2 linked regions of the Cricetulus griseus genome follow. Each later gene encodes a partner of the first gene's protein in a complex. Links are inferred from orthologs where the notes say so. Each region holds a gene or a part of one and is shown on either strand. Other genes may lie near its edges.

Region 1 (5,110 bases):
CTTCTGCAAGGTGTCCAAGTTGCTCTGGCAGCGGTCCAGAGTCCTGCGGGTGAGGTTTACACTCATGGAGTCGATGCAGACATTGTCTAGGAGGAAAGCAGACAGACATGGGCTCAGCCGGCTTGGGGGCGGGGCAGAGAGGCCGCCGCTGTCTGCACACCCTGGCACCCTCCTCACCAATGTTGTGGGCTTCATCGAAGACCACGACGGCCTTGCGGGCCAGCTCTTTGGACACCAGGTCTGCGATCTTGGGGTCCAGGAGATAGTGGTAGCTGTAAACCACCACGTTGGCATGCAGGATCTAGGAACATGGAGGGATAAGTTTTTGCCTTGGGCCCTGCTGCCCCCGCCATACCACTCCTTCCCAGGTGTACAGACGTAACACCAAGACAGACAGCAGGTGGATGGAAAAGACAGATGGGACCACCCAGGCAAGGCATAAACAGAGGCTGGAGACAGGAAGACCTAGGTACCAGGTCAACAAAGATGCAAGCAGACAGATGGGCTAACGGAGGGGTGGGCAAAAGTGGCTCATGCCTATAACCCCCATAGCTGGGAACCTGCGTAAGGTTCTTCTAAGTTTGAGGCCAGCCTGGGTTATAAGTGAGACCCTGCCCCAGAAGAAAACAAAACAACTCTTCACCGAGTATCGAGCCAGGAAGTAGGGGCACCAGCCCTGCCGCTGCCCCAGGGCCTTCAGGTCATCCAGGTTGTAGATGCCTGCCGGGAGGGGCACCTGGCGTCCGTGGGCATCAAACTCCTGGGGAGGCAGAAGATGGCAGTGTCAGGGAGAGCTGCTGTCCAGAGTGTCTCTGCCCTCCCCGGCCCGGGCCAGAAGATGGCAGGGTCAGGGAGAGCTGCTGTCCTGAGGGTGTCTGCCCTCCCCGGCCCGGGCCAGAAGATGGAAGGGTCAGGGAGAGCTGCTGTCCTGAGGGTGTCTGCCCTCCCCGGCCCGGGCCCTTCCCTGCACCTCATAGAAGCGGCAGTGAGGCAGGCTGGCATCCTGCTGGTACTGGGCCCGCACATATGAGGCTGTGAGGCTGTGACACTTGCCGTCCACGTCCTTCCCAAAGCGCAGTGGTGTCACCTGGGGGTTCAGGGGACAAGTTACAACAGAGACAGGAGGTAGTGCGTGCCAGCTACGCCAACCTGGGTTTCCCAACTCGGGACATCACAAGTAGCAGGTCAGCTGGGGTTTCTGGGCAGCCAGAACCTTCACCTGAGCCACTATTAGTTAAAAGGACTTGCTGCAGGGATGTCAGAGTGGGACATCAGAACCGTCCCCAGAGCTGGGCACGGCAGCACAGACCTGAATCCCAGTTACCAAGACAGCTGGAGCAGGAGGAATGCACCAACTCAGGCCAGCCCGGGCAAACACCAAGGCCCTACCTCACAATAAAACGTGTGCAGGGAGATACGCAGGCAGAACACTGTTTACATAACACATAAATTAATCTTAAAAAAACAACATAGAAGTGTTTATAAGTGTTTAAAAAATAAAAATCTAAGTTTCTCCCTCTCTCTCTCTCTTTTATTTTTTGTTGTTTTTTGGAGACAGGGTTTCTCTGTGTAGTTTCAGAGCCTATTGGCATTCGATCTGTAGACCACACTCGCCTCGAACTCACAGAGATCGCCTGCCTCTGCCTCCTGAGTGCTGGGATTAAACGCCCGGCTCTAAGTTTCTCTTTTAAAAAACAAGCTAGACAAGGCTAGAGAAATGGCTCAGAGGTTAAGAGCACTGGCTGCTGTTCCAGAGGTCTTGAGTTCAGTTCTTACCAACCACAACCATCTATAATGGGATCTGATGGCCTCTTCTGGAATAAGGGTGTACATGCAAATAGAGAACTCACATTAGATAAATAAATCTTAAAAAAAAAAAAAATTCAAGCCGACAGTTAGTGTCACATGTTTTTGAACCCAGCACTCAGGAGGATCTGTTAGTTTAAGGCCAGCCTGGTCTACAGAGTGAGTTCCAGGACAGCTAGGGCTACACAGAGAAACCCTGTCTTCACTGAGTAGCCCTTGGCTCAACTGTGTTTTGGGGTTCTGGAATACCTACATACATATAATAGATATCGTCAGATAGGACAGGAGGCTGCCATGAAATTCACTTATGTTTCATGTATATAAAAATCCTAACACTTCAAATGTGCTCTACCGTTTAGACTTTGACTTATCCCATGAGGTCAAATGAGAAATTCTGAGGCGTCACCCTGGCACTCCAGCAGTTTCTGTTCTAGGAGCAGGAGCTAACCTGCGCTCTGACTGATGACCCAAGATCTAACTGAAAAGGGAGTTACACTGGTGGTCACCTCACATGGCCACGGGCTGTCTCTGGGGCTTGCACTGGGTAGCCCAAGGCTGAGGGCGAGGCCCGGGTCTCACCTCGGGATGAATGCACAGGTTCTTTCTTGAGCTCAGAGCTAGTCCCAAGAACGGCAGCTTCTCGCCCTCCTGCTGCTCATAGAAGCTGAGCAGCTTGCGAAGCTCTTCTATGACCTGCTTAGACGATGGGAGCATTGCGTGGGGACCTCAGGACCAGCATAAGCCCCTGCCCACCAGGCCAGTGAGGGCAGCAACTGGGGACCACTGAGGCCGAGGGGAGGGGACAGACCACTGGGTCCATCCTCACTGCCCACCTTCTCAATCTCTGGCACAGTCCGAGAGCAGTAGATAAGTTTGGTCACCTCCAGCGGAAAAGCCTGTGGGTGACAATCAGCTCAGCCCCATCCAGCCCCTCCCCGCCCCCCAGTCCAGACACCCATGATGGTCACTCACCCTCTGGTAGGCCACTATCAGGGCCAGCAGGGACACTGTCTTCCCGGTGCCTGAGGGCATCTCCAGGACTCCATGACCCTGAAAGTTGGGCACAGAAGAGACAAGACACGGGCTCTCAGAACCTCGGGGTCATAAACTCTGGGGACCCTAGAGGACACCATTACCTAGGAACATGACACACACAACGGTGAACTGCCATCAAGGCCCAGGGAACAAGGGGCTTCATCTCTGCTTCTTTTTTGCTGGAGTTTTTATTTTTCATCCTTAATTTTCATCCCAAGGATCGTGCTCTGTAGCCTTGGCTAGTCTAGTACTTGCTATGCACCTCTGGCTGGCTTTGTACACTTGGTGATGCTCCTGCCTCTACCTCCTGAGTACTGGGGTTGCAGGCTGAGCCCTATTTCGTTGACCTCTCTGGATCACACCTGGGTCACAGCATCCTTGCTTGACTCCTTGGCTCCACAGCCCTTACTTGGAACAAGATTGTGAGGACTGCCAGGCGTTGGTGGCGCACGCCTTTAATCCCAGCACTCAGCAGGCAGAGGCAGGAGGCTCTTTGTGAGCTTGAGGCCAGCCTGGTCTACAGAGTGAGTTCCAGGACAGCCAGGGCTGTTACACAGAGAAACCCTGTCTTGAAAAACCAAAAAAGAAAGAAAGAAAGAAAAAAAAAAGATTAAGAGTATCAATAGACTTGTGGGCCAGTGAGATGACTCAGCAGGTAAAGGTACCTGGGGCCCAGCTGATCACTGAGTTCAATCCCCGGCACCTACACCGAAGGAAGAACCAAACTGCCTCCCAGAAGTTGTCCACTGACCTCCTCATGCACACCAGAGCATGGACACCCACACTCTAAATAAATAAATACAATTTTTAAAAATTGTTTTAAAGAAAGTTTGTGTTCAGGGCTGTTGAGTCAGCTCAGCACGTAAAGGCGGTTGCCATCAAGTCTACCAGCCTGAATTTGATTCCCAGGACCCGCATAAAAGTAGGAGACAACCAAGTCCACAAAGTTGTCCTCTGTCCTCCACATCCTGAACCCCCCCCCTTCCACTACTGTGACCATACACAGGCCAAATAGACTCTGAGTATCAACACCAGTCAGCCTGTCAAAGTCTGTCTGTCACCTGGAACCTAAGGCAGGAGAACTGCTAAGATCAGTGTCAGCCTGGGCTACAGAGTGAGCCTGGGCAATTTAGTTATGTCCTGTCTCATACAGAAAGGAAACAGAGGGCTGGGATGGAGCTCCAGGTGCAGACACTCTGCCCAGCATGTTGGTCTAATTCCCAGCAACAACAACAACAACAAAAAGCAACAAAATCACCCTGAGCTGGAAACTGCTGCCCTTTCTGTGTGAACTGCCACAGTCCTCACAACCTAGGAAGGCTGCCACCAGCTCCAACTTTAAAAACTTTAATTTAGGGCCCGGCATTGGTGGCGCACACCTTTAATCCCAGCACTCGGGAGGCAGAGGCGAGTTCCAGGACAGCCTCCAAAGCAATGCAGAGAAACTCTGTCTCATAAAACAAAACAAAAAAAACCACCACCACCACCACCAAAGATTAATTTATATGTGTGTGTATGTGTGTACACTCTGTGTGTACAGGGCCTGCAGAAGCAGGGAGAGGATGCCGGACCCCCTAGAGCTGAAGTCACTGCTGGTTGTCAGTGCCAGGCATGGGCACTGGGAATCAAACTGGGATCCTCCGGAAGGGCAGCAAGTCCTCTCAACCACCGTGCCACCTCTCCAGCCCCTCCTGTTATCATCACCAACACATTCTTTCTTTCTTCCTCTTCTTCAAGACATGGACCTAAGGCAGGAGGGTTCTTAAATTCAGCGTGAGCCTGGGCAAGTTAGTGAGGTCCTGTTGAATAGTGAAAAGTAAAGAGAGGGCTCTGATGTAGCTGGAGGTGTAGGTATTTGCCCAGCACACTGGTTCAATTCTTTCTACAGAACAGGTTCTGTCTATGTAGCCCAGGCTGTCCTGAAATTCCATATGTAGACCAGGCTATAGACCAAGTTACAGGGCTCCTCCTGCCTCTGCCTCCCAAGTGCTGGAATTAAAAGCATGTTCCACCATGCATGGCCCCGAACACCCTATTGTACCAGAGAATGAATTTTGATCCTCCTGCCTGCACATTCTGAGGGCTGGGATTACAGGGGTGAATCACCAGACTTACACTGTGTCGAAGATGAAACCAGGGCCTGGTGCATGCCCCAACCAAAGTACATCTCTCTCTCTGGAGAAGCATGAACACCATTTACAGGGGTGGAAATTGTGGCAAGAGCTTAAATGACATGCCCAACAGTGCACAGCTAGAAGCCCATGTGTAG
Region 2 (4,737 bases), on another chromosome or scaffold:
GTATTTTATTTATTTATTTATTTATTTATTTTTTAAGACAGGGTTTCTCTGTGCAGCCCTGGCTGTCCTGAAACTGGCTCTGTAGACCAAGCTGTTCTCAAACCCACAGAGATCCACCTGTCTCTGCCTACTAAGCGCTGGGCTCAAAGGTGTGTGCCACCACCTTCCAGCTTCTTTAAAAGTTTTTAATTACTTTATTTTATGTGTATGGGTGTTTTGCCTTTGAAGGACATTGAGCATCCTGGAACTGGAGGAACAGATGGTTGTTAGTCATGTGGGTGGTAGGAATCAAACCTGTGCCCTCTGCAAGAGCAGCAACTCTTAATTGCAAAGCCATCTCTCCAGCCCTGGGACAGAATTTCTAATGAAGGGTTCTGAAGACTGTACTTTCAGACCTGCTGGGTGACTTTGGAGACCAACCAGTTTGAGAGTTACACTGACTATTTATTCTGATCTCTGCTATCCTCAAAAGCCTGAATTTTCCCAAAGGCAGAAACCAAGTGTCTTTCCTGAATAACAAAATGTACCAAAACATGGCCAGCAGTAGAACATGTAAGGCCTTGGATTTAGTCCTTAACACCAAGAAAACAAAAGAAATCCATCTTTATATAAGGCCTTACAGACCATGCATGGCTGTCCTGGCCTGCCTGAGCCTGGTCTCTCCAGATGGGACAGGAGTAACTGAAAGGCATCTTTCATCAGTGCCCTATGGACGCGCAAAGTTCAAGTGTGGGCTTCAAGTGACTCTGGTGCTGCAGCTACCACCAATCAACAAGCATGTCAACCACCCAGTTAGCAAGTAGTGAGCGACATCATCCACCAGGTGGTGCTAGCAGGCCACACTGAACCCAATGGAAGCTATCCAACCATTTCAGCACTTAAGCAAAGACAGAAATCAGTCTGGCGGTCTGTGAACCATGGGCAGCAAGGGCACCACCAGAGGGCAGGGGATCCTGCAGAGTAAGGAGCACTAAAGCCTAGACTATGCTGGAGCTGTCTTCCTCACAAAGAAACATGACAGTTGGGTTGTCTTGGATTGAGGATTGTCTGGGCACTTCACACCCTATGAATGCTCCACACTGACTTATCAAATGTCAACATGAACCTATCCCTGTAGGGTCTACTGACATCTTTTACTATTTTTTTTTTTAATTATTTGTATTTGTGTGTATATGCTGGGGTATGTGCATAAAAGGAAGTGCCTATGGAGGCCAGAAGTATCAGACCCTCCTGGAGCTGAAGTGATTGATAGGCAGCTATGACTCGGTTCCTCTACAACAACAGTATGTGCTCTTAACTTCTCTCCAGCTTTTTTTGTTTTTGTTTTTCAAAATGGTTTCTCTGTAGCTTTGGAGCCTGTTCTGGAACTTACTCTGTTGGCCCCAAACTCACAGAGCTCTGCCTGCCTCTGTCTCCTGAGCACTGGGAGCACTCTGTCTCCGCTGCCCGGCTCTCTGCAGCACCCCCCCACACACACACACAGGGCTTCTCTGTGGATTTGGAGGCTGTCCTGGAACTAGCTCTTGTAGACCAGTCTGGTCTCGAACTCACAGAGATCCGCCTGCCTCTGCCTCCCAAGTGCTGGGACTAAAGGCCCACTGCCTGGCCTGTCTCAACCCATGGCCCAGGCAGGCCTTGAACCATGATCCTCCTGTTTCTGTGACCCGAGTATCTATGCCACCAGGCCTGACTAGGGTTCTTATTGTCACTTTTTTCCTGTGAGGTTATTTGGCTCCTCAGTTACTTTTCATGGCTTACTTTTTACATTACGCTACTGGCTCCCTAAGCCCAGCACAATGCCTGACACACAGGGACAGGGCATGATCAGCAGCCTGGGGCTTACTGTGGCCCAGCTGATGGAGAAGACAGCAGAGGGGCAACACTTACGCGATCTGGAGTGCCCGGGTGCCCAGTACACGGGCTCGCTCATACTTGGTCATGTAAGGAGTGGTGATGCGCTTCTGGTTGGCCTGTGGTCGTTCACCAGAGGGTAGAATCTCAACATTCTCCTGACCCTCCTGGATACCAAGAAAACAAAGACAGGAAATCTCAGGGCAAGTTTTGGGTCAGGGAGGAAGATGATGACAATGACACTCAGCACCAGTAACGATTTCTGGATGCCAAGGACTATACAGAGACTCACTAGTACCCCATTCCTTACCACCTGGTGAGGCAGGGATGATGGTCCCTATTCCAAGGGCTTCAAAAGCCAGCCAACCTGACCAAAGTCTCCAAGCTAGCAGTAAAGAGGACTGTGGTCAAGATTCTAGAGCCTAGGGGGCTGGAGAGATGGCTCAGAGGTTAAGATCACCGAATGCTCTTCCAGAGGTTCTGAGTTCAATTCCCAGCAACCACATGGTGGCTCACAACCATCTGTTATGAGATCTGGTGCCCTCTTCTGGTGTGCATATAGACATGGAAACAGAATGTTGTATACAAAATAAATAAATAAATAAAAATCTTTAAAAAAAAAAAAAAAAGATTCTAGAGCCTACTGTCCTGCCCAAATGAAGGCGGGCCCTATAAATGATGAGCACAAACACCAGATCTTTCACACAATGAAACTGAGTCAATGGGTCGAGTGACTAGAACAGTCAGGGTAAAGAGGAAGTCACACCATACTGAGCAATGACCTGCTACACATTACTCATCTGTTCAGGCTGTGACTGAGGACACATAAGGCCCTGGGTTCTGATAGTAGGGTCACGACCTAGAGAAAACAGGCACAGAGCAACAACTGCTGCCAGGAATGTGCACAGCCTATGCCCAGAGTTTACAGGATTCTGAAACCAAGAATAAAGGGCCTAAATTTAGGTCCTCAGTCTCCTTACAGTCTGGGTAGATAACAGTGTGTGCCTATAACCACAGAACTAGGAGGTAGCGACAGAAAGATTTCTGGGGCTTGCTGACCGACAGCCTAGCTGAAACAGTGAACCCAAGTTCAGAGAACGACAGGGGCTGACATCTAACAGCAACCTCTGCCCCTCCGTATGCACTACACAGCACACAGACACACATGTCCATATGCACAAAATTTCTCTTTGTTTATTTGAGACAGGGTTTCTCTGTGTAGCCTGAGCTGTCCTTGAACTCACAGAGATCTGCTTGCCCCTGCCTTCTGAGTGCTGCTGGGATTAAAGGTGTATGCCACCACTGCCCGGTACACACAAAATATATATATTTTTTTTTAAATAAAAACTGTCCAATGGTATTTTAAGTTTTTAGGATAGAGTAGTGAATAAAGAGATCAAAGCTATTTCTACCAGAACCCATGCCTTTAATTCCAGCACTCAGGCAGCAAAGGAAGGCTGATTTCTGTAAGCTAGAGGCCAGCCTGGTTTAAATACTGAGTTCCTGGGCTATACACTAAGAACAAGTCTTAAAAAACATACATAACAAGACTCAACAAGCCAGGCGGTGGCGGCACACACCTTTAATCCCAGTGCTTGGATGCCAGAGGCAGTTGGATCTCTGTGAGTTCAAGACACAAGAGCTAGTTCTAGGACAGGCTCCAAAACTATGCAGGGAAACCCTGTCTCGAAAAACAAAAACAAAAAAAAAAACAAATGAAAAGAAAAGAAAAAATAAATAAATAAGACACAACACTCTTAAGACCTAGTTGAGGTGACACTTAGGCAAAGGCGAAGTGTACCTGCAGGAGACACATCCCTGGAAAGGGAATGATGAAACCTTTGGCAAACATCACCATCTCACTGTCTAGCTTCCAGGTTGCAGTGCAGGAAGCTGAGGATGGCTACTAACCTCCTCTGCATTTTCCAAGTCATCTAGTCCTTCGTCCTCTTCCACATCATCAAAGTCATCGCCGTCGAAACTAAGCCAGAAGACACTGGTGGTTAGAATCACCTGCCAGAATCAGGGACACAGTTTGGGGTCTCTGCTGTGATGTAGGAGGGACCAGCAAATCTTGATGAGGGAATCAAACTCTGGCTTCACTTTACACCTTCAATCTTGTCCCATCTGCCCCCAAATTTTACTAGGACTTGTCATCGATGTTTCTCTCTGTGAACTACTTCAGTCAGCACATGTACTTTTCTGGTCTGGGGATTTATGTTTTAAGGTTTATTTATGTTTGTGTGTGTGAATGTACGCCTATGGAAGCCAGAAAGGAGGCATCAAGTCCCGTGGCTGGAACTGTTCAACATGGTGATGGGCACTGAACTCTCACTCCCAGGAAAAGCAGCACGTGCTGGTAATTACTAAGCCACCCCTCCAGTCACCAACATAGTTTTAGCCCTATCATGAGGGGAAAGCCGTAAATCTGTGAGTGTGATGGCACACTCCTGTACTCCTAGCATTTGGACACTGGGAGTGGAAGACTCAGGAATTTAAGCCCAGCCTGGGCTACATAATGAGATTCTGTCTCAAGAACAAGAACAAACAAAATTTACTTCATGGCCGGAGGTATATACAACAAGCATGAAATCCCTGGGCATTAATTCCCAGGAGCAAAGCGTCACCACCATTACCCCACCCACCTCTGAGAAAACCACATTATTCTCTTTCCTCCAGCTACAGCCTAATTCCATGTTTGTTCCCTTATAATGGGGGGAGGGAGGGTAAAAAAAAAATAAGGCCCATGTGACATTGTCATTCTCATGGTCTCTGGTTACCAGGCTTCTAAATTATTTTTAGTTATGGTTAATGTGTGCATGATATGTGTTTGCACGAAGGCCCACACATACCACCGGGACAACCTTTCCCATTCTCTCCTTCTAC

Evidence for each region. Proteins that work in one complex are often made in the same cells at the same time.
Region 2: Ercc2 (region 1) and Polr2f share a complex: the UniProt entries of both Homo sapiens proteins name them as parts of the TBP-based Pol II pre-initiation complex. The link is inferred for Cricetulus griseus from reciprocal best matches to the Homo sapiens genes ERCC2 and POLR2F.

Annotation. Positions count from the first base shown.
Region 1 is NC_048602.1:27,969,996-27,975,105, forward strand, and holds part of Ercc2 (general transcription and DNA repair factor IIH helicase subunit XPD), read right to left. Parts: intron 2,857-5,110; coding exon 2,779-2,856; intron 2,703-2,778; coding exon 2,640-2,702; intron 2,500-2,639; coding exon 2,386-2,499; intron 1,088-2,385; coding exon 971-1,087; intron 761-970; coding exon 644-760; intron 302-643; coding exon 178-301; intron 87-177; coding exon 1-86. UniProt on the Homo sapiens protein: ATP-dependent 5'-3' DNA helicase. Component of the general transcription and DNA repair factor IIH (TFIIH) core complex, not absolutely essential for minimal transcription in vitro.
Region 2 is NC_048595.1:376,263,945-376,268,681, reverse strand, and holds part of Polr2f (DNA-directed RNA polymerases I, II, and III subunit RPABC2), read right to left. Parts: intron 3,865-4,737; exon of another isoform or gene 3,833-3,864; coding exon 3,763-3,832; exon of another isoform or gene 3,710-3,762; coding exon of another isoform or gene 3,653-3,709; intron 2,019-3,652; coding exon 1,888-2,018; intron 1-1,887. UniProt on the Homo sapiens protein: DNA-dependent RNA polymerase catalyzes the transcription of DNA into RNA using the four ribonucleoside triphosphates as substrates.